7 linked regions of the Cricetulus griseus genome follow. The protein of the gene in region 4 interacts with the protein of the main gene of each other region in a pairwise test. Links are inferred from orthologs where the notes say so. Each region holds a gene or a part of one and is shown on either strand. Other genes may lie near its edges. The genes, in order: Tcea2, Bag5, Acot7, Thap1, Znf385c, CUNH1orf35 and Eef1aknmt.

Region 1 (2,819 bases), on a different chromosome or scaffold from region 4:
TCAAGTAGTCACAGCCCCTTACCCATCTATGGCCCAGGAAAGGTCAGGGGATCACCCCAAGAGGGCACTGGATAACCTACCAGTGTTATCTAACAGCTACTGGAGAAGCACAACTCTGGCCTACAGACTCTACCAGAAGCCTTTAACCCTGTATACACTGTGTAAAGGATATACTCCTCGATCTGAGCTGACAGATGCTCGCAGTCTACACCAACAGCCTTGTGGTCGTCTGCAAGAGGGAGCCCTCATTAGTTTCCCCCACTGGCTTTTTCCACCTGCCACTCCTCTGCTTGCACAGCACCCCAGAAGCTAAATAGGTCACTTCATTCCTGGGAAACAGTTCCCAAGATACAGGTGTTCTGGAGACCCCAAAACCCAAGCCTCCTCCCTAGGTCACAGTAGGGAATGTGACTAAAGAGAAGATCTGTGCTGGTGGCGCATGCCTTTAATCCTAGCACTCGGAAGGCAGAGGCGGTGGATCTCTGTGAGTTTGAGGCCAGCCTGGTCTACAAAGCAAGTTCCAGGATAGCCAGAGCTGTTAACAGAGAAACCCTGTCTCAAAAAAACAAGAGAGAGAGTATGTTACCTCTCTGACAGCAACCTTTAAAGCAGGCAGAGGCCCAGGCCACCCTAGGAATCTGGACGAGTATTAAAATCAGAGCTTGTAGTACTCACGGTCCGTTTGCAGGGCCAAAGTCAGCATTTCACGGCATTTGTTTCGTACAGCATCACAGGTGATGGGAACTGAGGGAAATGTGGTGATCCTCGGAGTGGATAAGGTCCTAGGTGGGTCTGGCTTCTTGCAGCTAGAGAGACAAAGCCTACTGGGCTCAGACTGAGCCTGTTAAGCTAAGTTATGCATCTTCATTAGCTGTTGTACACCACTGGGAGGCCACCCAGTGCACTCTCTGGGTGATCCCCTGGCCTTTCCTGAGCCACAGGTGATTCCCCAGAAAAGCAAACATGGACACCACACTGACCTCCAAAGCCCGTTTGCTCTATCCTGACAGACCCCCAGCTAGACCCAATGACTTCATTCATCCATAGTTCAGCCTAGAATGCCTGTGTGCTCAGGCTTCCTTATCAGAGAAAGGCATTGGCCACAAGGTCCACAGTGAACCACAAATCACTCCCCAAGTGGATGCCAGATCCTTCCTCAACAATCAGTGTCTCAATAAAATGCTCCCTAGTCAAAGGGGGCTGAGATATTCTTGCTAGCTTCAGAGTGTCTGCTTCCCAAGAGACCCAAAACATGGACCATGCTGTGAATACCTCTCTGCTAATGGCAGAAACAGGCAGGTACTTCTGGAGTAAAGATGAAGTGGGAGATCACCCAAAGTCAAGTCTTATCACAGGTGACCCCACTCAACACAAATGAAATTGGGCAAGGATCTCAGGTTTGGGCCCAATAAAAGACTTGCCTACCAGTCATCCTATCTACCCACCAGGCCCTTTCCTCTGGAAATCAGCAGCATCAGGTGGCTTTCTGGGGCAAGATCCACTGTATAAGCATGCTAATGAGCTCAGGACATGACATCATATCAGGACTGCAAGGCTGGAGTCCAGAGCATAGGCTATTGTAGCCTGGTCTCAGCCTCTGGCCACTGCTACCACCTGATCAAAGGAGCCTCTCATCCATAACCTGTAACTAGCAGTGCCCCTAGTCTCCATGGTAACAGGTTTTCCCTGACCACCTTTTAGGCAATGGTATGACAACACTTGAATGTGGAGATCTGAGCTGTGCCCACCTATAGCTCTGGCTAGCATTGCATGAGTGACCCATTCATCAATCCTGCTGAGCAGCAAAAAGATAGGGTCTAAGTAAACAGGCAAGGAGGCCTGGGGCTGGGCCAGATCCTGATGGGTAGCCCCTTCTTACTGAATGTCTCAGTGATGACACTGACAGCCAAGCAGACTCAGCCAGACATCTTAGATGGGCAAGAAGGGAACTGAGCAGTGGGACAGTATCCAACATGAGGCTGACTAACCTTACAAATGGTGACCTAGAAAGGGCCTCTCCCTCAGAGCAGTGCCCAGGCAAATAGACATCAGCCTTCTTTTCCTACTGAGGCAAGAGGCAGAAATGTATATACCTGCCATCAGATATGCTACCTGAGATCCGTAGTCCCTGAGGTATCCTTTGAGGATGATGTGGGCAGAGGTGTGCCCCTCCCTTGATCCCTGGTCTTGCCATCAGAAACATCTGTCATTATCAGAAAACAGATGGTATAGACTGGTCAGGAGCAGGTAGCCAGGTGCCAGCTCAGCCTCAGCCTGGCCATTATCCCTACTGCTCAAAGCCATTAGATAAGCAAGGTGCCAGGAGGCCACCAGACCTTCCTCCCAGTCCCCAGCAAGCCCACCAGCCTCTTCAGGACCCACCCTCCTCAAGCCCCCACTCAAGCAAGCTGCTGAGGGACTCTTCAGGTCCAACCTGGCCAGAAAACAAGCAAATGCCTCATAAAAGTCTCCTTCGGAAAACATGGGCCTTGCCCAAAACCTGTACTGGGGATCAGGACAAACTAACCCTGAGGCTTCTTGATGGCCATGTGACTATAAGGAGGGACAGATCCTGGGTTGTCTCACAGAGGTGTAGACAGAGCCCAGGAATGGTTGCCGCCCTAATCAATGGGAGCATCTCTGCAGCCTAGTTGTCCACTGTCCCCACAAACAGATGCTGTCTGCCTAGCTTACCTCTTGCAGAGGTAGCAGCCCCACCTCCTCCTCCTTCATCTGGAGCATGCTGACCTGGACCTCCTTTTCTGTTGACCTCCCGCAGCTTGAAAATCTCCTCCCCAGCATATACACTTGTCTCAATG
Region 2 (4,543 bases), on a different chromosome or scaffold from region 4:
ATACTTGGACTTTATTCCCAGTCAGGCCGAGTTTCCTCCTCCTCATAGTTTAGCTAGAGTTAGACTCTTAATTCTGCATTTAATGCTTGCATAACCCACTTAAAAATTAGGAGTGCTGCCCTTCTCGTATTCCCATCGAAACACACAAAGTCGACAACACAAAGCACACATTGTAAGCATAACGAGCCAAATGGAAAAGTTAATGTGCTATAATGATATTCGTTTTGCAACATCAAAAGCAGCAGAAATACTGCATATAATTTGATTAAATCATAAATACTGAGATTGAATATGCACATAGAAATTACATTTAGGCTCCATGAGCTGAAAGCTCTCTAAAAGCAGATAAAGTGTGAACCAGCAGGAGCAGCTCCTGGTCCATCAGTACTCCCACTCGTCGGACTTCAGATCAAGGTAGCTGAGGATGTTCTGGGCCAGCTTCACAGCCTGCTTCCTAGCAGACTTACACTTCTCTTCTCCCTGGGGGTCAACAGCGTCCAGGGTCAGCAACTGTTTGGTCAGCAGCTCCTCCAGACGGATATAGTTCTTATCAGTTCGGTTTCCACCAAACGAGAGGACTTCACCCTGAATCTCTGACAGGTTTCCAAGGACATCCCACACAGCCTTGTGTGGGGGGTTCTCCTCACTAGGGAAGAGCTTCCTCTTCTCCAGGGCCTCCTTGAGGTCCAGGTACGTGATCAGGGTCTGCACTTCAATCACGGCTCTTCTCCTGGCTTCCCGGATGCAGGGGTTCTTCTCAACACTGACTTCATCTAGCTGTCCGATCAAGCCCTGAAGTTCTGTCTTGGAGCTCAGGTACAGTTCGGGAGGGCTCTGAGCCTGGAGAAGTTCATTTTTTATCTCTCGCATCCTCTTGAGCACCTTTTCTATTTTCAGAATGGAATGGTTCTGCCCCAGGTCAAATGCATGTGTACTGTCAGCTTCCTCTTCTAAATCTAGGTATTTCAGTAGTTTGTTGATGTCCTCCACCACCTCCCTCCGGTAATTTCTGATCTCCGTACGCCCACACACGTCTAAAGCATCTAGATCAGCCATCAACCCTGACAGCACGCACGATAGGTGCCTGCAAGTCTCAGTACTGTCCACGCCCATCAGAAGTGCGATCAAAGTGCCCCTGGCCTTGTTCACCTCACACATCACCAAATTGATCTTGGCAACTGAAGGGTGCACATCCTCAGAGAGCGGCAGGGAAGGCTGCTTCTTCATGCAGTCTTCAATGATCTCTTGCACGGCACAGATCTTGGTTAGGGTGTGGTACCTTGCTTTCCGCAAAGAGATCTTCCCTCCTGTTTTAACATGCGTCAGCCTCAGAATGATGTCCTGGATGCCTTCCTCAAATTCGTCAGTCACACAGTTGCCTCCACTGTAAAAGGGCACGATCTTTTCTTTCACAAGGGCCTGTGCCTCCTTAAAGATGTTCTGGATTTCAATCCGGTGTGGGTGGTTTGCATTCTGCTCCAACTCTTTGAGAAGGCCTTCTGTCTCCTGCGCTGCCCTCTTCCTAGCTTGCTGAATGTCTCCTTTTCCTTCTGTGTCTACAGAGTCTATTTCAAAAAGTTGTTTCGTCAGAATCCTCTCCAGTCTCTTGTAATTCTTGTCATCCGCCAGGCCGCTGAAGCCAACCACTTGAGGCTCTATACTCTTGACTTCTCTTTGGATCTCCTGAAGCCTACTAATAGAAGGGTGTTGGTTTCCCATATCCATACTTCTGTGTTCAGTTTCACAAGCACTGAAAGACGGCAAGAGTAACTTATTACAGTCTCTGCAGGACAGTTAGATCAACCCACTTTAAACTCACTTTTAAAAGGCATACTTTTTAAAGGATTAATTGGGGCTATGGAGACAGCTGTCAGTCAAGTGCTCCAGTTGGAGCTCCAGAACACATGCAAAGACAGCCAGGGCAAGGGCCCTAGAGAGGGCTCAGTGGTTAAGAGCACTGGATGCTCTCCAGAGGACCTGGGTTCAATTCCCAGCACCCACATGGCCTCTCCTGGTCACCTGTAACTCCAGTTCCAGGTGATCTGATCCCCTCTTTTGGCCTCTACAGGCGCCAGGCACACATGTGATGCACACACATACATGCAGGCAAAACACCGGTGCACATAAAACGTAAAAGCCAGGCAAGATGGTGCTCACTTACACCACCGGTGCCAGGAGTCAGAGACGCGTGGACTCTGTGGTTCACTGGCCAGCTAGCCTACTCCGATTGGGGAGCTTCGGGCCATGAGAAGCCCCGCCTCAAAAAAAACAAAGTAGAAGGACACCACAGAAATGGTGTGTCTGGGGGGAGGGGGGCAGGGTTGAACTCTGGCACCCGGGCAAGCACCAAAACACACAGACGGAAGGTTTTGTCGTTATTTATAGATTTGGAAGACATACTCGAGGAAAGAGGAGATGTGACATGTTAACTCCCTCTCGGGAAAGCACTTCACAAAACAATGTGCCAACACGCCCGGCGCCAGGGAGGCAGAGGGAAGAGAATTAGGAGTTCAAGACCCGCCCGGGCCACTCAGTGAGATCCTGACTCAAAAGCAAAACGAAAACAGGGAGAAGTCTGTCCAGTCTGGGGTGGATGTCTGGGCCTGGGAATCAAAGTGAGCCGCGCGCACACACACACGCACACACGCACACACGCACACACACGCACACACTTTCACGGAGGCCAAACCATCCGCGTCAACCCCGTTTCCTCTGCTCCCACCGCCCTAGAGGACGACTGGGAGCGGCAGGCGGGGCGGGAGGCTCCCCTGTGGAAGTCATCGGGCGCTCTCCGGGGCTCCTCACCGGGCCACCGTTCTGCCCCAGGCCCAACCGGACTTGTCCTTTCCACGAAGTCCTCGCCCCCCTCGACTCCCATTGCTGCCCCGACCCGGGCCCCCGCCAGAAAGCGTGACAAGTGCGGTTATTAGCTGGGTCACTCGCCTCCCCGTAAGCATGCTTAGAGCTTTTCCCACGCTCGCTCGCTCGCTCGTTCCGTCTCTCAGGTTTCTGTCAAACCGCTCACTTCCGGCGGGCCGGCCACAGAACTCAGTCCAAGCCCGGAGAGGTGCGGGCGGCGGCGGTCTTGGCGGCCGCGGAGGGCGGCGAGGCGGGAGACCGGCCCGTCACGGGGAGCGGCGCCGGAGCGGGGCCCCCAGCGGCATCCCCCTCGCCCTTCCCGGCTAGGTCTGACCCGGGCGGCCGGTGAAGGGGCCGGCGGAGGCGGCGGCAGCTACTGGCCGCGGCGGCCGCTCCGGGGCGTCTCGGCCGGGCCCGACGCGCCGCCGCCTGACCTCACAATGGGCGCGCGGGAGCGGCGGCGGCGGGGAGAACGAGGCCCGCGCCCCCCCCGCGCTGCGCTGCGCTCACCTGGGCCGCTCGCGCCATCGCGCGCGCTCCTCCGCCTGCACTTCCGCAGCGTTGCCGAGGCGGCGCCCGCCGCGGGGCCGGCCGCCCAGCTCCGAGCCCGGGGAAAAACGCGGCCGGGCCCCGCCCCGGGCGCGCCCGCCGCCGCTCTCCGGGAAAGCGCACGGTCGGCCTCGCCCGCGCCGCCCGCCGCCGCCCGCGCGACGCTGCCGTAAAGCGGACCGCGGCGCTGTCGCGATCGCGCCGCGCGCCGGCCATGGCGGCTCTGCGGCCCGGAAGCGGAGCGCTCGTCCGGCCGCTCGTCCGCTCCTCGTCCAGCGGCGGCGGCGGCGGCCGGCTGGCCCGGGAACGCGGCACGGAGCGCAGGGATGCGGCGTCCAGCCCGGTGAGCGGACGCCCGGGGAGGGAGCGGGGCGTCCCCGGAGCCGGCGTGAAGCGCTGTCGGCGCGCTGCGCCCTCACTTCCGCTGCGCGAAGGCGCCCGGGCTCGGTCTGGAGGCGGCGGCGGCTCGGGCCGCGCGTTGTTTGTAAACAGTCGCGCAGCGTCAGAGGCCGCAGGGCGCGTCCGCAGCGAGCCGGGAAAGCGGCCGGGCGCTCGGCTTTTGTTTAACCCGCCGCCCTTCTTCCCGAGCCGGTGCTTCGTTTAAGGGAGGCCCGGGCCAGTGAGAGTGATGGCTGAGGCTTCAGGTGGAGAGCACTAGACAGCGCCCATGGCTGCCCGCACTGCATTTGCCAGCAGGCCGGCGACACAGGCTGGCGAGGTTTGCTTAAGCAATAATTAAAGGGCCGCAGCGGGGAAAAAAAAGGTGTGTGGGGGAGATAATTAAGAATTGCAAAATGTGCCTGCTGTGTGAATTTCCATTTCTGTTATGCTGCGTCTCGGAAACACTTTTATTAGAACTACAGCTTTTGAAGTCTGTCTAGTCTCCAGTTAAGGTTTGTTGCCCGGGCTCCTGGCCTCTGGCTCGGTTCCCTGGCACGAGAAACAGACAAGCCTTCACTTCTGTCTCTAGAAAAATAGAATTTTAGTCCTTGGGCAGAAGGAAAAACGAAACAGGTGTCTGAACATGTTTGGGGAGGGGAAATGTAACTCAGCCAAGCATTTACTTTGGGGTGTGTGTGTGTGTGTGTGTGTGTGTGTGTGTGTGTGTGTGTGTGTGAGAGAGAGAGAGAGAGAG
Region 3 (4,477 bases), on a different chromosome or scaffold from region 4:
AACCCAGCATGGTGAGATGTGGGCAAAGACAGCAGAGTCCCCAGAAGCCTGTGGGCTGGCTGGCCCGGTGTACACAGTTCCTTACTAAAGAGCATACACCAAGTAATTCAAAACAGATCTAGGCCTAGGGTCTGTTCTGAGTTACTTTTTGAATGCTCTATAGGTAAGGGACAGTTTTACTAAACTTCGGCATATCTCCTACCACTGATTAAGGCTATTCTTTTCCTCTCCAATGCTTTTGGTGTCTTTGTTGTAGATTGTGTGTGTGTGTGTGTGTGTCTGTGTGTGTGTGTGTGTGTGCGCGCGCACATGTGGGTCCATGTGAATGTGTGTGCGTGCGCACATGTGGGTCCATGTGAATGTGTGTGCGCGCGCACATGTGGGTCCATGTGAATGTGTGCGCGCGCACATGTGGGTCCATGTGAATGTGTGTGCGTGCCATGTTGTGCCCATGAGGTCAGAGACAGCCTCAGGTGTTGGTTCTCACCTTCCACCTTGTTTGAGACAGGGTTTCTTATTCCCTACTGTGATTTCAAGGCCAGCCTGGTCTATGTAGCTAATTACAGGACAACCCAGGCTATAAAGTGAAACCTTCTCTCAAAGAGTAGGGAGGAGTCAGAGGAAGTGTGATAAAGTGCTGCTCTTCCAGAGGACCCAAGTGCAGTTCCCAGCCCCACATGGCACCACAACCTCCTAGGACTCTAGCTCCAAGAGGCCCAACACCCTTTTGGACTCTGAGGACACCTACACACATGATCTACACACATAACATACATAAATTTAAAAACAATAAACTATTTTTTTGGTTTTTCAAGACATGGTTTCTCTGTGTAGCTTTGGAGCCTATCCTGGCACTCGCTCTGGAGACCAGGCTGGCCTCGAACTCACAGAGATCCACCTGCCTCTGCCTCTGCCTCCCGAGTACTGGGACTAAAGGCGTGCGCCACCAATGCCCGGCTAAAATAATAAACTTTTTAAATTTTTTTATTTAACTTTATTTTATGTGCATTGGTCTCAAAGTATCCCCTGGAACTGGAGTTACAGACAGTTGTGAGCTGCCATGTAGTTGCTGGGAATTGAACCCAACGCCTTTGGAAGAGGCGTTTTAACCTTTGCTCTTAACCGCTGAGCCCTCTCTCCAATTTATTATTTTCTAGGGGAAAAATAATAAATTTTGAAGAACGAGGAGGAGGAAAGGGAGGGGAGAGAGGAGGGAGGAGGGGAGGGAGGAGGGGAGGGAGGGGGGAGGAGGAAGGAGGAGGAGAAGAGGAAGAAGCCACCGCTGCCAAGTGTGGTGGCACACAGCTTTAACCCCAGTACTTGGGAGGCAGAGGCAGGAGGATCTCTGTGAGTTCCAGGCCAGCTACAGCATGTGGTCCAGGCCAGAGCTATTCCACAGAGAACCCGGTCCCGGAAAAAGACAATGGCATCTGAGTCATCAGGGGAGTGCCAGCTGGAACTGCAGTGGGACAATACTGCACACCCACTAACAAGCAAGTGCTGGCAGCTGTGGGGACACTGACCCCTTCAGCACGCTGGGAGACATAATACAGCCAGGTCCTGTGGAGCCACCTGCATGCCTCAAAGCCTGACTTGAAATAACCAGGTAATTCATTCTCTCCCAAATGAGCTGTTTCTGTGCACACCACCTCTGCTGACAAACATCAGGTGACAAGTTTCCACCCTTCAACTCAGGTCCTACAAGTCACTGTCATTCTGCCGCCAACCCCACAGTCCCCAGAGACCACGCACTTCAGACACCTGATACAAGTCCACTGGTCACAGTCAGTCATCTAAATCAGTGTTCCCACAAGCCCCTCCTCAATCTGCTAACTGGGGAATTTCCTGCAGGCACAGGGCACTCTACTGGGTCCTGGTGCTGGGGAGACAGGTGCAGAAGGCAGTTTGGAGACAACCTGAATTACAGTAAGGCTCTATCCCCCCAAGAAAAGACGATTTCCTTTTTTTAAATGAAGGACACAACGAGGACCAGCCACACTGATGCAGTGGCTGCCACTGGGAAGCTGGAAGATAAATGTTGACCTCAGCATAAGGGGATTTCATGATTGATCAAGTCATTGGTCATGGGTGATTAACTCAAGCCAAGAACCTCCCCCACCCCGGTAGCAAGTAACGGGGTGGAGCCAAAAGTTCAAACCCTCCAGTCCTTCCTGCAAGTCTTCCTGGGCCAGCCCCCAGTCATCTCATTAGCATACAAAGACACATTCCTGTCACTCCAAGAGTTTCAAGAGCTAGAAGACCCTATCATTGCTTTGCAAAACTGATGGTGACATCTCAGGGAAGGTGCTAAAGCCACCAGGTTGTGAACTTTAGTGGATAAAATGTAGGCATGTGAATTACATCCCAACAACGTTTCTGCAAAGCTTAGGGAAATGAAAGCCCATTCATCCAGGACCAAACAGGGCATGCGCAGAAGCTGCGGCATCTCTCGGCCACCTGGAACAGCCGCTTGGAAGAGGGCCTGGACCTGAGCCAGCACAGCTGCTGGTCATAGGATGTGGTGATCTCCAACCACACCCAAAGGAATTCATGTCTAGGAAGGCCCCAGCTTCCTACAGCCTGGAGCCCAGGAGCCTCCACTGGTCCCCAAAAGGACAGCAGCAAGACCGGTTTCAATGGATGACTACCTATTGACAAGAGGCAGCTCACCAACCCCATTCCTAAGGATTTACAGCCTACACTCTTGCTGTGCCTGAAGCCTAAGCCCAGGAGCAGAGTCCCTGAGGGAGTAGATTAGCATCAGTCACCCTACCTTCCCATGGCGATGATACAATGTCCAGACATTTGGAGATCTGCTCTGGTCCTGACAGCCCTCATGGGAGCCCAGTGTCTTCCTTCCCTGAGCCCCTGGCCTGTCTCCAGGCTCCAGGAGGCTACCTGCCTCCCCACCTCCCAGAGGCGCAGAGTCCTGGCAAACAGCTTCATCCTGTGGAGTGGGACAACCCGTTTATCTTCCCTCTCAGCAAAAGGCTTAGCTGCTGTGTCCACCACTCGGCACCGGCTTAGCGATCCGAGTGGCCTCCTCAAGGGAATCCAGCCGGCTCCTCTTTCCACCACTAGTAAGTAAGTAGGCAAATGAGGGAGGAGCAGGCAGTCAAGCTGGTGGGTCTGTGCCTGCAGCCAGTGATGCAAGCAGCTCACGAGGAGGTGTGAAGTCACTCAGCCTTGCCTTACCTCTAGGAGGGAGATAAGGGGGAGGAGAAACAAAGGCACCACCTATCTGCAGGACTGACAGACAGAGCTCCCTCTAGGACCCCCAATCTCCAAGAACTTCAAGCGGAGCTTCACCCTTCTTGGCTTATGCCAAGTTGAAGCACAGGTCCCACCTGGGCCAAAAGATCCTCAGCAAGGCTCGGCTGCCAAGTAGGGCAGAGGTGCTGGCTGAGCACGAAGGCCGCGGAAGTTCAGGAGGACTACAAAGTGCTGCAGTGGGGCAGGACCACAGAGGAAGCAGGGCTGGAGGCTGGACTCCGCCCTCACACTCTGAGGCTGAGGCTTGAGAGCTGGTGTTTTCTATTTTCTACTCTCTACTGTGGAAAAAAACCAAAGGCTTAGAAGAGTCCCTTGCCCCCCTGCCGCCCCCCCCCACCCCCGTGTCAATTCAACTGCCTCTGGGCCACCACTGGTTTCCTCTCTGCTCTCAGCACTCTCCAATGCCAGGTTATCTTGCAGCAAATCCCAGACAACATGGTCTGCCATCCTCTCTAAAACACAGCTCCTTCTGAGATCCACCACAGGCTAGGTGGACCACATTTGTCCTCCCATTTACTAGAGGGCTTAGGAAGCAGAGGAAGAGGCTCACTTGAGGCCAGAATTTCAGGATAGCCTGGGCAGCACAGTGAAGTCTCACACATACTTTTGATTTGTTTTGTTTTTATTCTTATTTGGGTTTTTTTGAGACAGGGGTTCTCTGTATCTTTGACTGTCCTGGAACTTGCTCTGTAGACCAGGCTGGCCTCGAACACAGAGATCTGCCTGCCTCTGCCTCCTGAGTGAGTCACCATGCCCCACACCCCCACCCTGACTGTTTTGTTTTTAAAGACAGGGTCTTACTATGTCACCCTGGCTCACCTGGAACTCAACTATGTAAGCCAGTCTGGCCTCAAAATCACAGAGATTCCCCAGGCTTCCTCTGCCTTCCAAAAGCTGGGATTAGAGTCATGCACTACCAGGCCTGGCTTTCCATTTTTAAATAAGTAAACATATAAATAAGTAGATAAACCTAGAACATATACTAAAAATCCCTCAGCCTCATCAAACATCAAATGACTGTTCCCATGCCCTAGATTACATCCCAACACCTGTGAAATCTGCCTGGCACCATGTGTGTTCCAAGGACAACACGCAGATCACTCACCAAGTTTATGGGGCAAGCACGCTGGTCTCTACTTAACATTTAACAACATTAATTATCATACTTTAAAAAGAGAGAGAGAGAGAGGTCTCATCACACAGT
Region 4 (3,766 bases):
CACTTGTAACCCCAGCATTTGGGAAGTTGAGACAGGATTACTATGCATTTATTGACAGCCCATGTACATAATTCAAATCTAGCCAGAGATACAAAGCCAAACTGTGTTTCAAAAACAGAAAAACAAAAGAGCTTGGATCAGACATGGTGGCATGATGAGAATGCCTCTAATCCCAGCACTTGGGAAGCAGAGGCAGAGGTAGGCAGATCTCTGCCAGTATGAGATCAACCTGGTCTGCAATGAGGCCAGAAGAGGGCATCAGGTCACCAGAAACCAGTTACAGCAGGTTCTGAGCTGCCATGTTGTTGCTGAGAACCAAACTTAGGGCTTCAAAGTTTTATGTGTTCTTAACCTCTGAGCCAGATCTCCAGTCATATAAAATATATCTTTAGAAAATTAATAATAGGGGGCCAAGCTTGGTGGTAAATAAACACCTTAAATCCTAGCACTATGGAAACAAAGGCAGATAGTTTTCTGTAAGTTTGAGGCCAGCCTGGTCTACATAATGAGTTCTAGGACAGCCAGGATAGCCAAAGCTGCATAATGAGACCCTGTCTCAAATAATAATAATAATAATAATAATAATAATAATAATAATAATAGAGAATGGAGAGATCGGGATATAGCTTGGGGGCAGGGTGTTTGCTTAGCCTGCTAAAGGGCATGTTCAATCTTCAGTACCAAAAAAAGAGATGTTCATAAAACTATCAAATGTCCATGAATTAAAAGTGCTACCTATTCTCAGCATGGCAGTAAATAAGAAATAAGCAGATCCACAAAAGATGCTTGAATAGCATGTCTTTAATACTGTCTTAAAAGGTCTGCTACTCAACTACAGAGAGTGTACTCTGAAATGTAAAATATGGTTCTCCTAAACCTAAATAGAGAATTCTTTTATCAGTATTTGTCTACTTAGAACATATTTTCATTTCAAAAGAATGTAAGCTTTCTCACAAAGTCAGAACACAATTCACATTGTGAACAGAAACTACAATATTTAAATCTCAACATTTAAGGACATAAACACAGCACATTATTTTCAAACATAAGTCACTTAAAGTAAATTAGATGTAATTTCTAACTTAGGTGAAAAAATATTTTTTATGCAGTGTCTTGACCAAAATCAAACAGTTAAGGGGAAAACTACCATATTCTGATGCAAACCAAACTCTACTAAAATCATATTAGAGATCTGAATGCAGATAAACTACGGCTGTAGAATTAGATGCCTTAAGCTAGGGGATGATGAGAGCGTATCAGGAACCAGATCCCAATTTTGTTTATGAGTGTGCAGATATGCCACAGCATATATGGAGGTCTGAAGACAGCTCTGTGGAGTTGGCTCTCTCTTTCCACCCTTATGTGGATCCCAGGTGTTAAACTCAGGTTGTCAGGGGACCAGGCTTGCACGACAAGCACCTTCACCCAGGGAACCGCCTCCCCAGCCCAATTTTCACTACACTGGTAACAATCCTTCACTTTGAGGCCTTCATTCCCCAAGATACACTTCCAATTTTACAAAGCTATGGACAAGAAGGACCCACTTCTAAAAATCTACTTTATGAAGTTATTGATTAAATATGGAATGACTTTTCTCTTCTGAAGACAGCAAAATATTATTTTCCTCAAATATTGACTTGACAGTTTATTTTGACAAGTGATTGAGAAAAATAAATGAAGCTCTGACTATAAATACAAATGTGTATGTACATCTCTATATTCTGAGAGGCTGTCCTATGATCTCATTTATACTTCTGATTTAAATTATAAGTTCTCTCAATAAAGGGCATTAATTTTAACTTTTAAACTTAAATCATCTTTACTGCACCATTATCCTCTCTACTTTTCATTTTTACATTATTTCTATAAATACTCAAATGAAAAACAATCCACCATCTTGAAACCAATATACAACATTATATTGGCGGTCTAAGGATTTTTTAAAATATTTTGTTAAAGTGTAAAAACCCTGAAATTACAAACAAAAAAATTACAATTTTACAGTATATAACTAATTTATTTTAAAAAAATATTCTGATTTTTTTTTTTTTATACAAGTAATCAAGTACTGTTTTTTCAAATGAAATCCTGTGTGTCAGCTACAAGAGAGCATGTAGTCTTGTCCCACTAGTACATCTCATTTTCTCAGGCTGGTACTTCAACAATTTCAAAGCAGTCATGTGGGAGAATCACATAGCCCCTTTCTGACGCATCATCTCTCTCTCTCTGGAAGTGCACTGCTTCCTTTAGCTTCTCCAGCTGTCTCTCCTGCCTGCGGCACCGCTGCTGGGCGGTCTTGAGTTTCTTCCTGAGCTTTTCGACCTGCTGCTCCAGCTGGTGAATCCGCTTCCTTTGGTGCATTGTGTCCTCCACAGTGTAATTGTGGTCACAGAACACCGACAGGTTATCAGGGGTCTGGAGGGGAGGCATTAGCAGCCCAATAGCAGCATCGACCTGGGAAGTAGGGGGTGAAGGAGGAGAGGGAAGCTGTTCTTGGGGTTCCAGATCTTCCTTCTAAAATAGCAACATAAAAGCATATGTGAGTTTAGTAACTAATGGCCTCCAAACATCTGTAGAGTTTTAGCATTGGACTTTTTTGTCACTTCATGGTACAGAAAAAAAAAAACGAGAAAGAGAAAATAGGTTTTCTTGGAGATGGTTTTGACAACATTGGCATGGAATCCAGGTTGCCAGGACCTCAACACAAAACTTTTTATCATTAAAACTATATCTTCCAGGCTAAAAATTTCAACACTAGGTTTTGGCTTGTATGTGGATTTTTAAGAACAGGGTCTTATATAAAGTAAAGGATTACCAGCCTACAATCCACACTGCCAGAGATGCTAGTAAACAAGGAGGACCCTAAGAGAGACATACATGGTCCCCTAGAGAAGGGGAAAGGGTCAAGATCCCCTGAGCAAATTGAGAGCATGGGAAGAGGGGGGGCAGGAGAATGAGAAGGGAAGAGGAAGGATGCAGAGGTCATGAGGGAGCAGAAAGGTTGAGTCAGGTGAAGAATAGAAGAAGGGGGATGTGATAGGTAGGGTTTTAGTTGGAGGTGGGGGGAGGGGTGGGGAGTGGTGGGGAGGATTGAGGGAGAAGGGAACTGGGATTGTCATGTAAATCAATCTTGTTTCTAATTCAAATAAAAAATGATTAAAAAAAAAAAAGAACAGGGTCTTGTTGTGTAGCCTAGGTTGGCCTCACACTTCAGATCCTCCTATACCTCCCAAGTTCTAGGACAACAAGTAACATGTAACTCCACCTGCCATAAGTTTGGGGTGGGTTTTGTTTGTTTTGGTTTTTTTTTTTTTTTGGTGTGGGGGGGAAGCAGTGTGCTTACTGTATAATCCAGGTTGGCCTGGAAATTACTATGTTTATACCAAGCTAGCTTCACACTTGTGGCAATCCTCTTGGTTTGTTCTCCCCAGTGATCAGACTGCAGGTATGTGACACCACAAGCCATTTTCAGTTCCAATTCAAATTTTCTATTTGCAGTTAAAGTGAGATTTGTGAAACTGAGAAAGTGATTTAGTTAGATGTAAGTAAATACTAAACACCTAAAACAAGAGAAAAATAATTTGAAAATAAACTGTCATTAATAATGAAAAACAAAACTTATCAACATGTAAAGACACAGAACTGTTTTTAACTTACAAAACTAGAATGAGTTTTTAAGTGTGAGATATTAAAATTCATAGAATTCTAAATTTTTTAAAAGTATATTATTGTTACTTAGTGGTTTTTTTTTCTTTATAATCGTGTG
Region 5 (3,920 bases), on a different chromosome or scaffold from region 4:
GGGTGAATATCAGAGCATATTAGATGCATATTCTGTCTGCATGATCCCAGTTCCCACATACCCCTGGGCTCCTTGCAGCTATTGACTTGGCAGGTTTATTGGTCAGTTTATTGGTCCTTTGCGTAGCCTGTTGTAGAAATAGTGGCTGAGGCCTGGCCTTGCCTGGTGAGCACCTTGGTGCTCCGGTTTCCAGTTTATCTTCGGAGCCTTCATCCGCTACTCTACACCCTCTCTGCCTTCGGTGCAGAAGCTTGCCCTGGTCCTGCAGTACAAAGGAGCCGAACCTGGTCTTGCAGCCGGTAGTGATGGCAGCTGCAGCTTCGCAGCTTCGCTGGGAGTTCAGCGCGTCTCCAGAGCTTCCTGCTGGAGCTAGCGATCTCTCCGCCCGACCCCAACTGGGGTGGCGACCGCGGTGTGGAGCTGCTGGGCTACCCAGAGGCTTCGCCGCAAGGCTTGGAGAGCCTCCAGGAAGCTTTCCTGGATTCTATGCACGAGCACGCTGGGGGTGTCCTTTCCTGAACCCTCGCTGGACGCAGTGGCCGCATTGGCGATGATCTTCGATCCCTGCCCCTACCCTGAGGGGCGGGCACTGGTGCACCAGCGCACTGGGCGAGTTCTTCAAGTGCATGGTGGCCAGCCGCCGTGGGGCGCCTTTGCCCGCTGGCCCTGCATCAAGCTGGCGTGTGCGCTTCCCGAGCTGCACCAGCTATTTCCTGACTTCGACTCCCTAGCCTTGGTGCTGCCCGCGCGGGGCTGCTGAACAAGGTGGGCTGCAGCCTCAAGCTGCGGTGGTGGCACCCCGCCCCCCCCGCATGAGTTTGATTTTGCACTGGCCGTGGAGTTCTTAGAAAGCAGATGGGGGAGGGACTCCTGGGGTGCCTCCCCTTAGCCGGCAGCAGTGGAAACTGAAGGGAGCTCAGACACACTTTTTTTTTTTTTTTTTTTTTTTTTTTTTTTTTTTTTTTTTTTTTGCCTACAGATCTGTGTGAGGGTGCCAGGTGCCATGTGGGTGCTGGAAATTGAACTCAGGTCCTCTGGCAGTCAGTGCTCTTAACCACTGAGCCATCTCTCCAGCCCCGCTCAGACACATTCTTTTTCTTTTTTTTATGTATACAACGTTCTGCTTCCATGTATATCTGCACACCAGAAGGCAGCACCAGATCTCATAACGGATGGTTGTGAGCCACCATGTGGTTGCTGGGAATTGAACTCCGGAACTCTGGAACAGCAGTCAGTGCTCTTAACCTCCCAGCCAGCGCCAGCCCCCACCCCCACCCCCAGACACACTCTTAACCATACTACACTCAAGCTGACCTACTGTGTTGTACTCTGCTCTTCACCAAACCTGTCTATGAGGAATGGGGAGCCTGCGCAACTGGTAGTGGTGCTACCTAGGTTCTGGACAGTTCCGGTCCCTTCTGACCTTTCAGAGTTTGCTTTTTCTCTGTTGGACCCTCTCCTCGGGTTTCGGTTGGAGGAAAGAAGGTTGGGCTTTAGGAACTGGAGAAACAGGTGAAGAAGAAGGGGTCCCCGAGAATTCCCTCGTCCCATGCTTTACAGCGTCTCTTTTCTTAAGAGATTGTAAACTGGATGCCAATGCTTGTTCTGACCCACAGCTCGGTGCTATCTGCGCACAAACTAATAGGTCAAGTGCATAATGATTCCAGAGAGGCAATGGCGCCCTCCCTCCCTCTCTTCTCCTCCGACCTGCTGCCTGCCGGCTTTTCTGTACTTGACTGTTTATAGACATACATCTACAGATGCTAAATAAACCCATTTTATGTTTCAGAGGGTTAACACCCAAGTATTGAAAAGGACTTCTTCTGGTTTTGCAATTACAGGACCCAAGAAAGTCTCCAATAACCTAGATTGATACCTGCTTTTTTTTTTTTTCTTCCCTTCCTTAAAATCTGGTTTGTTGGTTCCCAGCCCTTTCCTGCCTTTGCTTTACATGGTTAAGACCAAAGACTGCAAAACCACAGTGTTGTTCTTGGGTGTCCTGAGGACTGGTTTGGGGGGGGGTCTCACCAGAACTAGAGACCCAAACTTTGAGAATGCTGTAGGTTTCTTTCTTTTTAATTTTGTGGGGTTTTAACAATTTATTTTATATGTATGGATGAATTCTTTGCCTGCATATATGTATGGGCACCATGTGTGTGCCTGATGACTGCAGAGGTCAGAAGCAGGCATCGGGGCTACTGGAACTGAAGTTACAGTTGTGAGCTACCATGTGGGTCCTGGGACTCAAACCTCGCTAGGTCCTGTAGAAGAATGACCAGTGCTCTTAAGCACTGTGCCATCTCTCTAGGCCCATGCTGTGGGGCTTGTTTTCATTCCTTCTGTGAGTGGTATGGAACCTGAAGTGAGAAGGGACAATTAGTGAGAGGAAGGGGAGCTGGCCTTTCCCTACACTCCCTGAGTTTGGTACTTAGGGATAAAGTGGGAACACAGCAAGCACATCATGCTGTCACCATGGATGTGTGTGCTAACCCTGACTCTGACCCCTCTCTTGGCTGAACTCCCTCTGGGTGTCTGTGAGAGAGGCTCACTCTTCTGTCTAGGAGACTTGAGCTGGAGACTCCTTGACTTCGCTTCTTCAACTTGCTTCAGCTGCAGTTACAAAGAGGGAGCCAGGAGTTCCTGTCCTGGCTGTACAACAGCCTTTCCTTGTGGCAGCAGCGGTGGGAGAGAGAGCCTTCTGGCTCCTCATTTCAGACCCTGCCCTTCTTCCTCCTGCAGCAGGCCCCGCCTCCAGCGCCCCCAGCCCCCTGCTGGCCTCCCTGACCCTGCCCACCCGGCCTCTGCAAACCCCGTTGGACTTCAAGCACTTGCTGGCCTTTCACCTCAATGGCACCACCCCGCTCAGTCTCTTCCCCAACTTCAGCACGGTATGGGCTGGGCAGGAGGGCGGGGGCACATGACGGTGTGGGGGTGGGCAAAGAAGGTGACTCAGCTGACCCTAGGTGCTACCAAATAGGGACCCAGAACCCAGCTGTCTCCTAGCTAGAGATGAAGGTGATGTCATTCCCACCCCACCATCACAACTCCCCAGAGGGGTGTGTGTGTGTGTGTGTGTGTGTGTGTGTGTGTGTGTGTGTGTGTGTGTGATCCAGGTGTCTCTGTGTGCACTTGGCTTGTGTCTTTGATTTGGGGGGTTAAAGATTATTTTATTATTTCTTTATTTAGTTGTGTGTTTGAGTGACTGTATGTATGTATGTTCACATGTGTGGATATACATACCTGTACATGTGCCACAGCCTGAGAGGTCATTACATCATTGCATGCCCTCCCTCTATGATCCCTCCCTGAACCTGAAGCTCCTGTTTTCTCAGTAAGGCTGGAGAACCAGCAAGAACCAGCAATCCTCCTGCCTCTAGCCCTATTGGAGCTGAGGCTACAGACTTGCTAGGGCACCTGGTTGGTTGTGTGGGTGCTGGGATCTGAATGCCAGTCCTCATGATTGCCCAGCAAGTGCTTTTAACTGTTGAATCATCACTCCAGACCTTGAATTATGTCTTTGCCTTGGAACTTGTATCTCTGGAGGTCTGTGTGTTATGGGTGGATGTGAATTTGTATATTGTTTATGAAGACTTTTGTGTGGATGCCTAGACAATTGTGTGTCATATGTGTGCATGTGAATGTAAGGGATTTGGATGTCTTTGTGCCTTCTCTTAGGTGCTGGGTATGTATGAGTTTCAGGTGACTGAGAGTCCATCCGTGTCTGAAAGTGTCTTTCTCCTTGTGAGTCTGTAACTTCCTCTAAACTTGTGTCTGTGTATTTCTGTCTTATGTGCATGCACTCAGTTGTGTGGAGTGTGTGTGTGTGTGTGTGTGTGGTGTAGGAAAAATGTTGGAGTACTCCATGAGGTGTGAGGAACAGCACCCTTTTAGTTCTGAAAATCAAATAAAATCAGGATGAA
Region 6 (4,586 bases), on a different chromosome or scaffold from region 4:
CCTGGGCCTGGAAACTAGCTGGTGGAAACTCAGATCAATCTGCCTCTGTCTACCAACTAGGATTAAAGAAAGGCAAGCACCACCACTTGTAGCTTCATATTTTAACTGCTCCACCTCCCATCAAACTGGCCAGCATCATGGCTCTGTCTGAGTGACACCTTCCTGTTTGCAACCATCACCCTTGCTGGCCCTCAATGGCAGCTACAGAGACACTCCCTCTTTCAGGCATCTGGATGGGCAGGCACATCCAGCCTGGAGGTGGAGGCCCAACAACTTCAGTAAAGCCAAAAGAACTAAGGGCAGTGCTTGGTTCCATCAAAAAAAAAAAAAAAAAAAAAAAAAAAAGACCTGGCACTTAACCTCCCAGTATACCTGTGGGTCTGGACACCCAGTATCTCCTGTGAATACACTCTTAGTGCAGTGTGCACAACTCACATAGGATGCCAGCAAGAGACTCAAAAGCGCACACACAGAGTAGGTAGAATAAGTATTCAGACTCCTCAACTTACTCCAGTTCGGCCTTGTCCTCAGCACGAGGCTTCTTCCTGGCAGCAGATGGGGTGGTGCTTGGGCCTTCGCTGTCCACGCGGTGGTGCTATATAGAAGCGCAGCTGTAGGGAGGGACACCCAGGGAGTCCCGCCCCACGTCTCCCCAGACATCCCCAAGCCCAGGATCCTGAGCATTTGGGCCGACAGTTTACCGTGAACACTGACAGCCCAAGCTTGGCAGCCTCTTTGTCTTCCCGGGATAGTGCCACACGGCCTGCGGAACCACTGCAAAAGACAGAACATTGAGGACAGTTCTGGACCACCGCCCAGTCCTGCCCCCTTCTACCCAACCCGCCGCACCTGGCGCTGCCCAGGCCCAGCAGCCGGTCCACGCCTTTGTCCTCAGGATCGCCTCCTTCCCGTTTGCAGATCTCTACGAAGTCCTGAGGAAGCGGGGAGTGGGGGTGGGGAGAGGTTCTAGGCCGGTACAGATAGAGCCCCGCCAGCCCTGAGGACCCTGAACCCGCACCCCAGACTCACCTCTTTGCTCAGGCCGGTGGGCTGTTTTCTCACGTTCTTGTAACCTCTGCGAGGGTCGAGGGTACACGTCAAGGGGCATGAGCCCGTAGCCTTCCTCCCCTGCCCAGCCTACATCTAGCCCCGCCCCGGGGCCACCCAGATCCCATCCCCGGAGCTCGCAGTCGCCCCGCAGCCCAGAAACTCACAGTGCGGCCAGCAGCGCCTCGCGTTCCGCCTCGCGCACAGCCGCCAGCTCTTCCTCACGGCTCGGGCCGGCACACGGCGCGCGGTCCTTCGCGTACCAGGTGAGGTCGCGGCCCTTCTGCCAGCGGCCCACTGGCGCCATCAGCGAGTTGCCTAGGTAGTTCTCCCTCTGCTTGTCGGTCTTCACATCCTCCCAATTGAACTGGTCCTGTCCGCCACGCACGCCGCCGCGACTGGAGCCGAACATGGCGACGGAGCCGCTCGCTGCACAATCTCCAGTACCCGCAGCCCGAGCGTCAGATTCCCGCAGCACTCGGCCGCCGGACGCTCGCCGTGACGTCACTTGTGCGCCTGCGCGTCTCACTAAGGTGTCCGCGCGCCTGCGCTCTGCATGGCTCGGGCAACCTCAGCCTCGAGAGCCCTCTTTCCACCCGGTGTTCAAGTAGTAACTCATTCACAGGCGCATCTTCATCCCATTTCCACGTGCGCCTGCGCACTAGCTCCTCGAAGAAACGGCTGCTGATCTCAGTGTCATGCGGTGGATTGGAATGCCAACAAACCTTGGTGACACCAGGAGGGGCCAGGGCCGGACAAAAGCCAGGCGTGCTAACTCAAAAGGAGTGGGGGTCCCAGGTCAGAGCTGAGATGAAGTAAATCCCTGGGACCATGAGTGGCGATTAAAGCCCCCAAAGAAACGCAGATCAACTCTTCTGTGTACTGGATGACACATTGTGTCACGAAAGTGAGATAAAGGCCACAAAGCACAAGCTTCCCTAAACCAGAGCGATCTGTGTTTTCTGCAGGTGACTTTACTGATGAAGTACGAAGAACAGAGCTAACTGCATTTGTTCTGATGGGGCATGACCAAGAATAACGAGTAACTAAGCTTCTTTGAATACAGGTTTAGTACTGTCATTTGGTTCTGGAAGAATCATTAGTTTTACCTGGCAGCCAATGAACGATCAAGTCGATGTCTGGACTAAAGCTTAAATGAGTGCAATTTTTCTGCATTATAGTCTTAGCCTTAACTGCCTGTAATAGACTGTGTGGCAACCCACACCCCTATTATCATTTTTAAAACATCCACTAGGGTTATATTTGAAGGCTGGGCCTTTGAGGTAATGAAGCAGAGCCTCACAGATTAGTGCCCCTACGAAGGGAACCCTGGAGAACTCACTTACATTCAGTCTCTAATATAAAATGAGATGTTAGCTGTCTAGAACCCAGAACAGATCTGTTGTCCCAACTCTATAGTGCTGGCATCCAGACTGTTTTGGGGAGTGGTGAGGATATAATGAATTTGACATGAACATGGGAACATCCCATGTTAATATTTCTCAAAAAGGGAATTTGGAATGTAAACAAATGTGGGAAGGAACACAAGAACGCCTGGGACCTTCTTCAGCTTCTACAGAATAGGGTGATGTTCCTATACCTCGACTGTTTTTCTGAAGACAGACATTGTTATGATTTACATAACCTTGAGCATGCTGGCCTGTGAAGCAGGCTCCCCTGCAGAACTGTAAATCTGTAGCTCTTGTTTTCAAAGGAGGTGAAAAATAAAAAAAACAAGCCTTGTCATGCAGATTGAACTCAAGTGCTGGGCTGCCTTAAGCCCCCTGGTTTCCAGTTCTCCCAGAATTAATCAGGAGAGGCAACTTGGCCAACCTCTCTCAGTTTGTGTTTGAGATAGAGTTTTACCATGTACCCCTGGCTGGCCTCACAGAAATCCATCTGCCTCTACCTCCCAAGTGCTTCGATTAAAAGTATATGTGAGCTGGGCGTTGGTGGCAGATGCCTTTAATCCCAGCAATCGGGAGGCAGAGGCAGGTGGATCTCTGAGTTCGAGACAAGCCTGGTCTACAAGAGCTAGTTCCAGGACAGCCTTCAAAGCCACAGAGAAACCCTGTCTTGAAAAACCAAAAAAAGAACGTATGTGAACTACTACACCTCACCCTAGTATTTCTTTAGGGACCTATCTTGAGAGCAGCTGGATCACTCCCTTGTGAGAACTCCTCTGCCACTGCTTTTGGGGAAACTTCACATATTCTTTTTTTTTTTTTTTTTTTTTTTTAAGATTTTATTTATTTATTATGTATACAGTCTTCTGCCTGCATGCCAGCAGAGGGCACCAGATCTCATTCAAGGTGGTTGTGAGCCACCATGTGGTTGCTGGGAATTGAAATCAGGACCTCTGGAAGAACAGTCAGTGCTCTTAACAGCTGAGCCATCTCTCCAGCCCCTGAAACTTCACATATTCTATAAGATAAAACATGCATAAAATCTGCAACTGTGAGAACAAATTACTATTTATAAAGTACCCATGACTGGTGAGATGGCTGGGTGGGTATGGGCTCTTGCTGTCATGCCTGCTGAAACAAGTTTAATCCCCAGGACCCACATGGTGGAGAGAACCAACTTACACAATTTATCATTTAATCACCCACATGCCATAGGGTGTATGCCACTCTGCTAATTAAAGTACCCAGTCTGAACTGGGCCTGGTGACAAGAGTCTGTAATCCTAGGTCCCCAAGAGGCTAAAGCAGGAAGGTTGGTTGGAAGTTCAAGAGCTGCCTAGGCTTACAAAGAGATCTGAAAGCTAGTCTGGGCAACTTAGCAAGGCCCTGCCTCAACATAAGAAAGAGAAACAGAGCCACATCTTAATGATAGAGAGGTCTCAAGTTCCATCCCTAGTTTGAAAAATTATCCAACCTGGTGCTCTCTGTCATCCCAAACAGACCAAGACAACCCCATTTTTGTTCATGTCTTCATTCTGAACACATGCTGAGAACCTGCCAACAGCTTGTGAGGCACCTAGTACAAGCCCTGAGTTCATATCCTGGCTTTGGAGGACACAGCTGGAACTAGATCCCTCAGAACAAGATCACACTAGGTGGTGGTAGCACACGCCTTTAATCCCAGCACTCGGAAGGCAGAGGCAGGCGAAGCTCTGTGAGTTCGAGACCAGCCTGGTCTACAAGAGCTAGTTGCAGGACAGCCTCCAAAGCCACAGAGAAACCCTGTCTCAAAATAAAAACAAACAAAAAGAACAAGATCACACTAGGGATGGATGTATTACATGGATGGACCCAAGGGGAGCTGCACAGTTAAGGGAGCAGCAGTCATGTGGGCCACAGTAAAAAAGGAGCAAACCAGCCATCTCCCAGGAAAGATCTCCAGAAAGCAAGATAGCAACTTCTGGGGCCCTCACCGTTGACCAGGTATGCTAAGGACATAGAAGGCTCAGCTGCACTGTCTGACCACAAAATGCTTCACTAGGTGAAGCTAAGAGGGAAGCAGGGCTATGGGGCTGGGAGGGTATGGGACAAGTGTCCACACCAGTTTGGAGAAACTGACTACAGCCATGAAGGG
Region 7 (4,638 bases), on a different chromosome or scaffold from region 4:
ACAAGCTACACAGAGAAACCCTGTCTCAAAAAAAAAAAAAAAAAAAAAAAAAAAAAAAAAAAAAAAAAAAAAGCTCAGCTGGGCAGTGGTGGCACACACCTTTATTCCCATCATTCGGGAGGTAGAGGCAGGAGAATTTTTGTGAGTTCGAGGCCATCCTGGTCTACAAAATGAGTTCCAGGACAGCCAGGGCTACACAGAGAAAACAAGCTAACACATAAATGCTCAAAAGATGATTATAAAAGATTGCTTTAAATTAAAAATGATGTCTACCCTAACGGTTCAGTGTCTGTTCTAGCACTATGTGTAGGCTGTGAACAAGAATTACTGGAAAGAAGCTGTGTCCTCAATGGCTCATTGATCACAACCAAGAGGTTGACATGTTCCAATCCCAATCTTTAGCCTCCTTAATAGCCATTTGGTGTCCTCTGTGCGTGACTTAACATCTTCTGTGATCATTATGTATGATCTCTGGAAAATAGAAATAGACCTCCGGCTTTCCTGCTTGTTTGTAACCATCTCACAATATGCCAACCAATGTATTTGGAAGTGTTATTTTACTGTCTGTATTGTTACTATAAAAAGGTCCATGAGCCGGGCGTTGGTGGCGCTCGCCTTTAATCTCAGCACTCGGGAGGCAGAGGCAGGCGGATCTCGGTTTGTTTGAGGCCAGCCTGGTCTCCAGAGCGAGTGCCAGGACAGGCTCCAAAGCTACACAGAGAAACCCTGTCTCGAAAAACCAAAAAAAAAAAAAAAAAAAAAAAAGTCCATGAAATTGCAACCTCATGGAAACACCGTATTTGAGGAACCTAAATTTGTGTTTCTGGGCTACGGTCACTCCGTATTTGGCTCCAGAATAAACCATCTCTTTATCGTGCTGTTTCCTTCATCGTCTTTTCAAAACAGCCCTTCGCCAGGAACCTCCTTGGAATATTTTCATGCAACGAACATTTGAAAGGATGGTATGCTCATCAGACACATAAAAGATACCTTTACAGCTGGCATCAGCATGACAATTTAAGGAAGTCGATAACAAAATGAACAGCTTCAGTATGGATACCGTGTTTTGAGGGGCGAGGTAGAGGGAAAAGGAGGCACCTAAGAAAGTTGGTAGTCTTTCCTCCTGAAATTTTACATTGTTACAGTATTGATAGCGAAGGCCCGTATTTTGGAGCAGAAAAGTAGTCCTTTCCCTCTGAATTAAAGGAAGTCCGGGGAGAGAAGATGGGGAAGGGAACAGAGCGGGCTGTGCAGGTCTGAGACGACAGAGAGGCACAAGCGCACCAAGGCTTCCATCCTCCCGAACAAGAGGGATTTCTTCCTGAGCCTCCAGCTTCTGCGCAGTTTAGCCACAGTCCCACCGTGACTAGGAGGGCTCCCCAAGCCCGTGCGCCCTCTGCCGGCCATGGAGCGCAGCCTCTCAGAGGCCGTTGTGGCGACGCGCGCAGCCGCTCCCGGCTCCCGGCTCCCGGCTCCCGGCTCTCGGTAGTGGCCTCTTCCGCCCGGACTCTGGCAGGAAGTCCCGCCCACCCGAATCGGCTTGGGTAAAGCCCGCGACGCCTACGATCCAGGCCCAGGGCTAGAGAGTCCTAGCCAATGATGTGCCAGAAATGAGACACACTGACCAATGAGCTGCTGGCGTGGTATGGGCGCCAGACCAATCCCGAGGCGTCTTACCCGGATGTGTTTGCTGGGCTCTGAGAGTAGCAGCCTGAGTGTGGGGCTGCTGCTGCACGTGGGGCGCGGGCTGAGCGTGCAGAGAAGGGGGCGGCGCGCGTGCGTGTGCCGCGTAGGGCGTTCGTTTGGGTTTTGAGTGCGGGGAGAATCGATGCTGTCTGTAGTGGGTAAGATTCCCGCGGCTGCATCTAGGTGCTTCCTGTGGTGAGGTCCCCTCTTGATCTGTCACCAGGAGTAGTCTCGAGGACGCAGCTCGCCGTGGGAACATGAATCTCTTACCTAAAAGCTCCAAGGAGTTTGGCTCTGTTGACTATTGGGAGAAGTTCTTCCAGCAGCGAGGAAAGAGATCTTTCGAATGGTATGGAACCTATCTGGAGCTGTGTGAGGTGCTGCACAAATACATCAAGCCCAGGGAGAAGGTAAGACATGAGGCCAGGAAGCCCTCCGTGGGGACCGAAGATAGCAGTTCTAAACTTAGGAGACAGGCAAGCGTGGGTACCCTACTCGGATCCACAATTCAGGAGTCCGTGCGGCATTTTGGCCAAATGACAGCTTTAAAATAGTGTTTTAAAGCTTTTGGTCAAAAGCTGATCCTTGAGCCTGGCGCAGTGGCGCATGCCTTTAACCCCCAGCTGAGACAGGCGTATCTCTGTGAGTTTAAGGCCAGCCTGGGCTACTAAGCAAGTTCCAGGACAGCTAGAGCTGTTACACAGAGGAACCCTGTCTTGAGAAACCAAAAGAAAAAATAAAACAACAACAACAACAAAACAACTCATGACCTTTTTGGAATGGTTACTTTTATCAGTAGTCTGAAAGGGTATTCTATCACTGCACGAGTGTGGATTAGGCAGTGCTGTGTGGCTTTGTTGATATATACTTTTAGTAAAGGAGGTGTGGAAGAGATGGGGTTGTGTTGGTGGTAGGGAAGAAAACAACATCTGTTGTGTGCCGTCTTTTTATTCTTAGCAAATTTAGGTGCACTTGTTTTCACAGGTGAATGTTGGAGATCACGCATGTAGTAGGTTGTCACATGGAGATTTAAAAGCAGGTCTGTCTGACCTCAGAGCTTAGTCACTTCCCATCAAAGGATGCTTTTCCTTCAAGAGATGGGCACAGCAGAATTTTTGAAAGATGAATGGGAGATTGTGCCATAGAGAGAGACAATAATTTGGGTTTTAAGTTTGACTTCAGAAGAATAGCTAAATATCATCAGATGGGATCTGATAGGGGCAGATTTTGAAGTCTCACAAACTGTAGTTTATTATCTGGGAAACAGGAAGCATGAGTGCACGGAGATCGTTATGTCAGGCTGCTTTTTAAACGGTAAAACAATATTGCAGCTGGTTTGTTTGCATTTTGCAACTTCCTACAGACTTTTTTTTAAAAAAAGGAGTTATTTATTTTATTATGCATATGTGTGTTTGATTGCATGAGTTTATGTGCCTCCTGTGAGTACATGAGCCTGTGGAGGTCAGAAGAGGCTGTCTGGTTCTGGAATGAGAGTTATAAGTAATTGTGAGCTGTACCGCGTGGGTGCTGAGAACTGAACTTGGGTCCTCTGTAAGAACTGTAGTAGCTCTTACCTTCTGAGCTATCTCTCAAGCCACACATTAATTTTTGAATAGCACACATCACAAAGCCCTGTTGTCACATGACCTTTATTGTGGCAAAATACTGTTTCGATTAGTGAATTCCTGCCAGGTGTGTCTAGCTTTTGACGTCGAGATACAAGGTTGTCATCTACAAGACTCACACGTGAGAACCATGCAATCAAGTGACATAGAAAAATCATTGCAAAAAAAAAAATACAATATTTTCAGAATGTTTACAATTTTGTTTTGAACTCTAGTTCTCAGCATGAGTCATACACAACTGTATTGGTAGCTTCAAGATGGCACCTAGAGTTAATTGAGTGTTGCTTTCTTCTCGAAATAGTTGTCCTGTCTTTTGAGAATAAAAAATAGGCAAGGTGAGACTTTCCTCTTTGAAGTATTAAAGAACATGTCTTTGCCTTGGTAACTTCCATTTTGTATATGATTTTTTTTTCCTCTAGGTCCTTGTGATTGGATGCGGCAACTCAGAGCTAAGCGAACAACTATACGATGTGGGCTATGAAGACATTGTGAATATTGATATCAGTGAGGTTGTCATCAAGCAAATGAAGGAGCGAAACGCCGGCCGACGGCCCCGCATGAGTTTCATGAAGATGGACATGACACAGATGGACTTTCCTGATGCCACATTCCAGGTGGTGTTGGACAAGGGCACGCTGGATGCTGTCCTGACAGACGAGGAGGAAAAGACCCTACAGCAGGTGGACAGGATGCTGGCTGAGGTTGGCCGTGTCCTGCAGGTGGGCGGTCGCTACCTCTGCATCTCCCTGGCTCAGGCTCACATCCTGAAGAAAGCAGTGGGTCACTTCTCTCGGGAGGGGTGGATGGTGAGGGTGCACCAAGTGGCCAACAGCCAGGACCAGGTGTTTGAAGCCGAGCCTCGGTTCTCCTTGCCTGTCTTTGCCTTCGTCATGACCAAGTTCAGGCCAGTCCCTGGCTCTGCCCTTCACATCTTTGAGCTGTGTACTCAGGAGCAGGGCAAGCCCGTACGGCTGGAGAGTGCCGATCGGCTGGCCGAGGCCGTGAGGGAGCGGCAGCACTATGCTTGGCTGTGTAGCCAGCTGCGCCGCAAGGCCGGGCTGGGGAGTATATCTCTGGACTTGTGCAGTGGGGACACTGGGGAGCCACGCTACACCCTCCACGTGGTGGACAACCCCACTGTGAAACCATCGCGGGACAGTCATTTTGCCATTTTTATCAGTGAGTTGGGATTGTTCCACCTCTTTCCCTGGAAGGGCTGGCTTACAGGGGCTGGAGTTGGGCTTGGGTATTGGTGACTGAGTATGTCATGGCTCTTTTTAATCTTAAAGTGAAATTAGCCAAGGTATGATGGAAGGGAGTAATAGGC

Evidence for each region.
Region 1: the proteins of Thap1 (region 4) and Tcea2 interact in binary tests that used the Homo sapiens proteins (3 or more experiments, as listed by UniProt). The two-hybrid records come from large-scale screens. The link is inferred for Cricetulus griseus from reciprocal best matches to the Homo sapiens genes THAP1 and TCEA2.
Region 2: the proteins of Thap1 (region 4) and Bag5 interact in binary tests that used the Homo sapiens proteins (3 or more experiments, as listed by UniProt). The two-hybrid records come from large-scale screens. The link is inferred for Cricetulus griseus from reciprocal best matches to the Homo sapiens genes THAP1 and BAG5.
Region 3: the proteins of Thap1 (region 4) and Acot7 interact in binary tests that used the Homo sapiens proteins (3 or more experiments, as listed by UniProt). The two-hybrid records come from large-scale screens. The link is inferred for Cricetulus griseus from reciprocal best matches to the Homo sapiens genes THAP1 and ACOT7.
Region 5: the proteins of Thap1 (region 4) and Znf385c interact in a two-hybrid assay, tested with the Homo sapiens proteins (3 studies listed by BioGRID). The two-hybrid records come from large-scale screens. The link is inferred for Cricetulus griseus from reciprocal best matches to the Homo sapiens genes THAP1 and ZNF385C.
Region 6: the proteins of Thap1 (region 4) and CUNH1orf35 interact in binary tests that used the Homo sapiens proteins (3 or more experiments, as listed by UniProt). The two-hybrid records come from large-scale screens. The link is inferred for Cricetulus griseus from reciprocal best matches to the Homo sapiens genes THAP1 and C1orf35.
Region 7: the proteins of Thap1 (region 4) and Eef1aknmt interact in binary tests that used the Homo sapiens proteins (3 or more experiments, as listed by UniProt). The two-hybrid records come from large-scale screens. The link is inferred for Cricetulus griseus from reciprocal best matches to the Homo sapiens genes THAP1 and METTL13.

What each region holds. Positions count from the first base shown.
Region 1 is NC_048599.1:224,132-226,950, forward strand, and holds part of Tcea2 (transcription elongation factor A protein 2), read right to left. Parts: intron 2,204-2,819; coding exon 2,113-2,203; intron 822-2,112; coding exon 676-821; intron 230-675; coding exon 173-229; intron 1-172. UniProt on the Homo sapiens protein: Necessary for efficient RNA polymerase II transcription elongation past template-encoded arresting sites.
Region 2 is NC_048598.1:182,322,625-182,327,167, reverse strand, and holds the start of Bag5 (BAG family molecular chaperone regulator 5), read right to left. Parts: upstream 3,131-4,543; 5' UTR 2,958-3,130; coding exon 2,944-2,957; intron 1,751-2,943; coding exon 382-1,750; 3' UTR 1-381. Other genes in the region: cytochrome c oxidase assembly factor 8, read left to right, coding at 3,623-3,751. UniProt on the Homo sapiens protein: Co-chaperone for HSP/HSP70 proteins. It functions as a nucleotide-exchange factor promoting the release of ADP from HSP70, thereby activating HSP70-mediated protein refolding.
Region 3 is NC_048595.1:4,175,682-4,180,158, forward strand, and holds the start of Acot7 (cytosolic acyl coenzyme A thioester hydrolase), read right to left. Parts: upstream 3,125-4,477; 5' UTR 2,947-3,124; coding exon 2,774-2,946; intron 1-2,773. UniProt on the Homo sapiens protein: Catalyzes the hydrolysis of acyl-CoAs into free fatty acids and coenzyme A (CoASH), regulating their respective intracellular levels.
Region 4 is NW_023276807.1:57,653,864-57,657,629, forward strand, and holds the end of Thap1 (THAP domain-containing protein 1), read right to left. Parts: intron 2,515-3,766; coding exon 2,146-2,514; 3' UTR 782-2,145; downstream 1-781. UniProt on the Homo sapiens protein: DNA-binding transcription regulator that regulates endothelial cell proliferation and G1/S cell-cycle progression.
Region 5 is NC_048600.1:113,686,867-113,690,786, reverse strand, and holds part of Znf385c (zinc finger protein 385C), read left to right. Parts: intron 1-2,739; coding exon 2,740-2,888; intron 2,889-3,920.
Region 6 is NC_048600.1:73,266,477-73,271,062, reverse strand, and holds the start of CUNH1orf35 (multiple myeloma tumor-associated protein 2), read right to left. Parts: upstream 2,959-4,586; 5' UTR 1,460-2,958; coding exon 1,215-1,459; intron 1,076-1,214; coding exon 1,030-1,075; intron 933-1,029; coding exon 850-932; intron 775-849; coding exon 702-774; intron 596-701; coding exon 510-595; intron 1-509.
Region 7 is NC_048598.1:29,592,737-29,597,374, forward strand, and holds the start of Eef1aknmt (eEF1A lysine and N-terminal methyltransferase), read left to right. Parts: upstream 1-1,685; 5' UTR 1,686-1,943; coding exon 1,944-2,096; intron 2,097-3,730; coding exon 3,731-4,490; intron 4,491-4,638. UniProt on the Homo sapiens protein: Dual methyltransferase that catalyzes methylation of elongation factor 1-alpha (EEF1A1 and EEF1A2) at two different positions, and is therefore involved in the regulation of mRNA translation.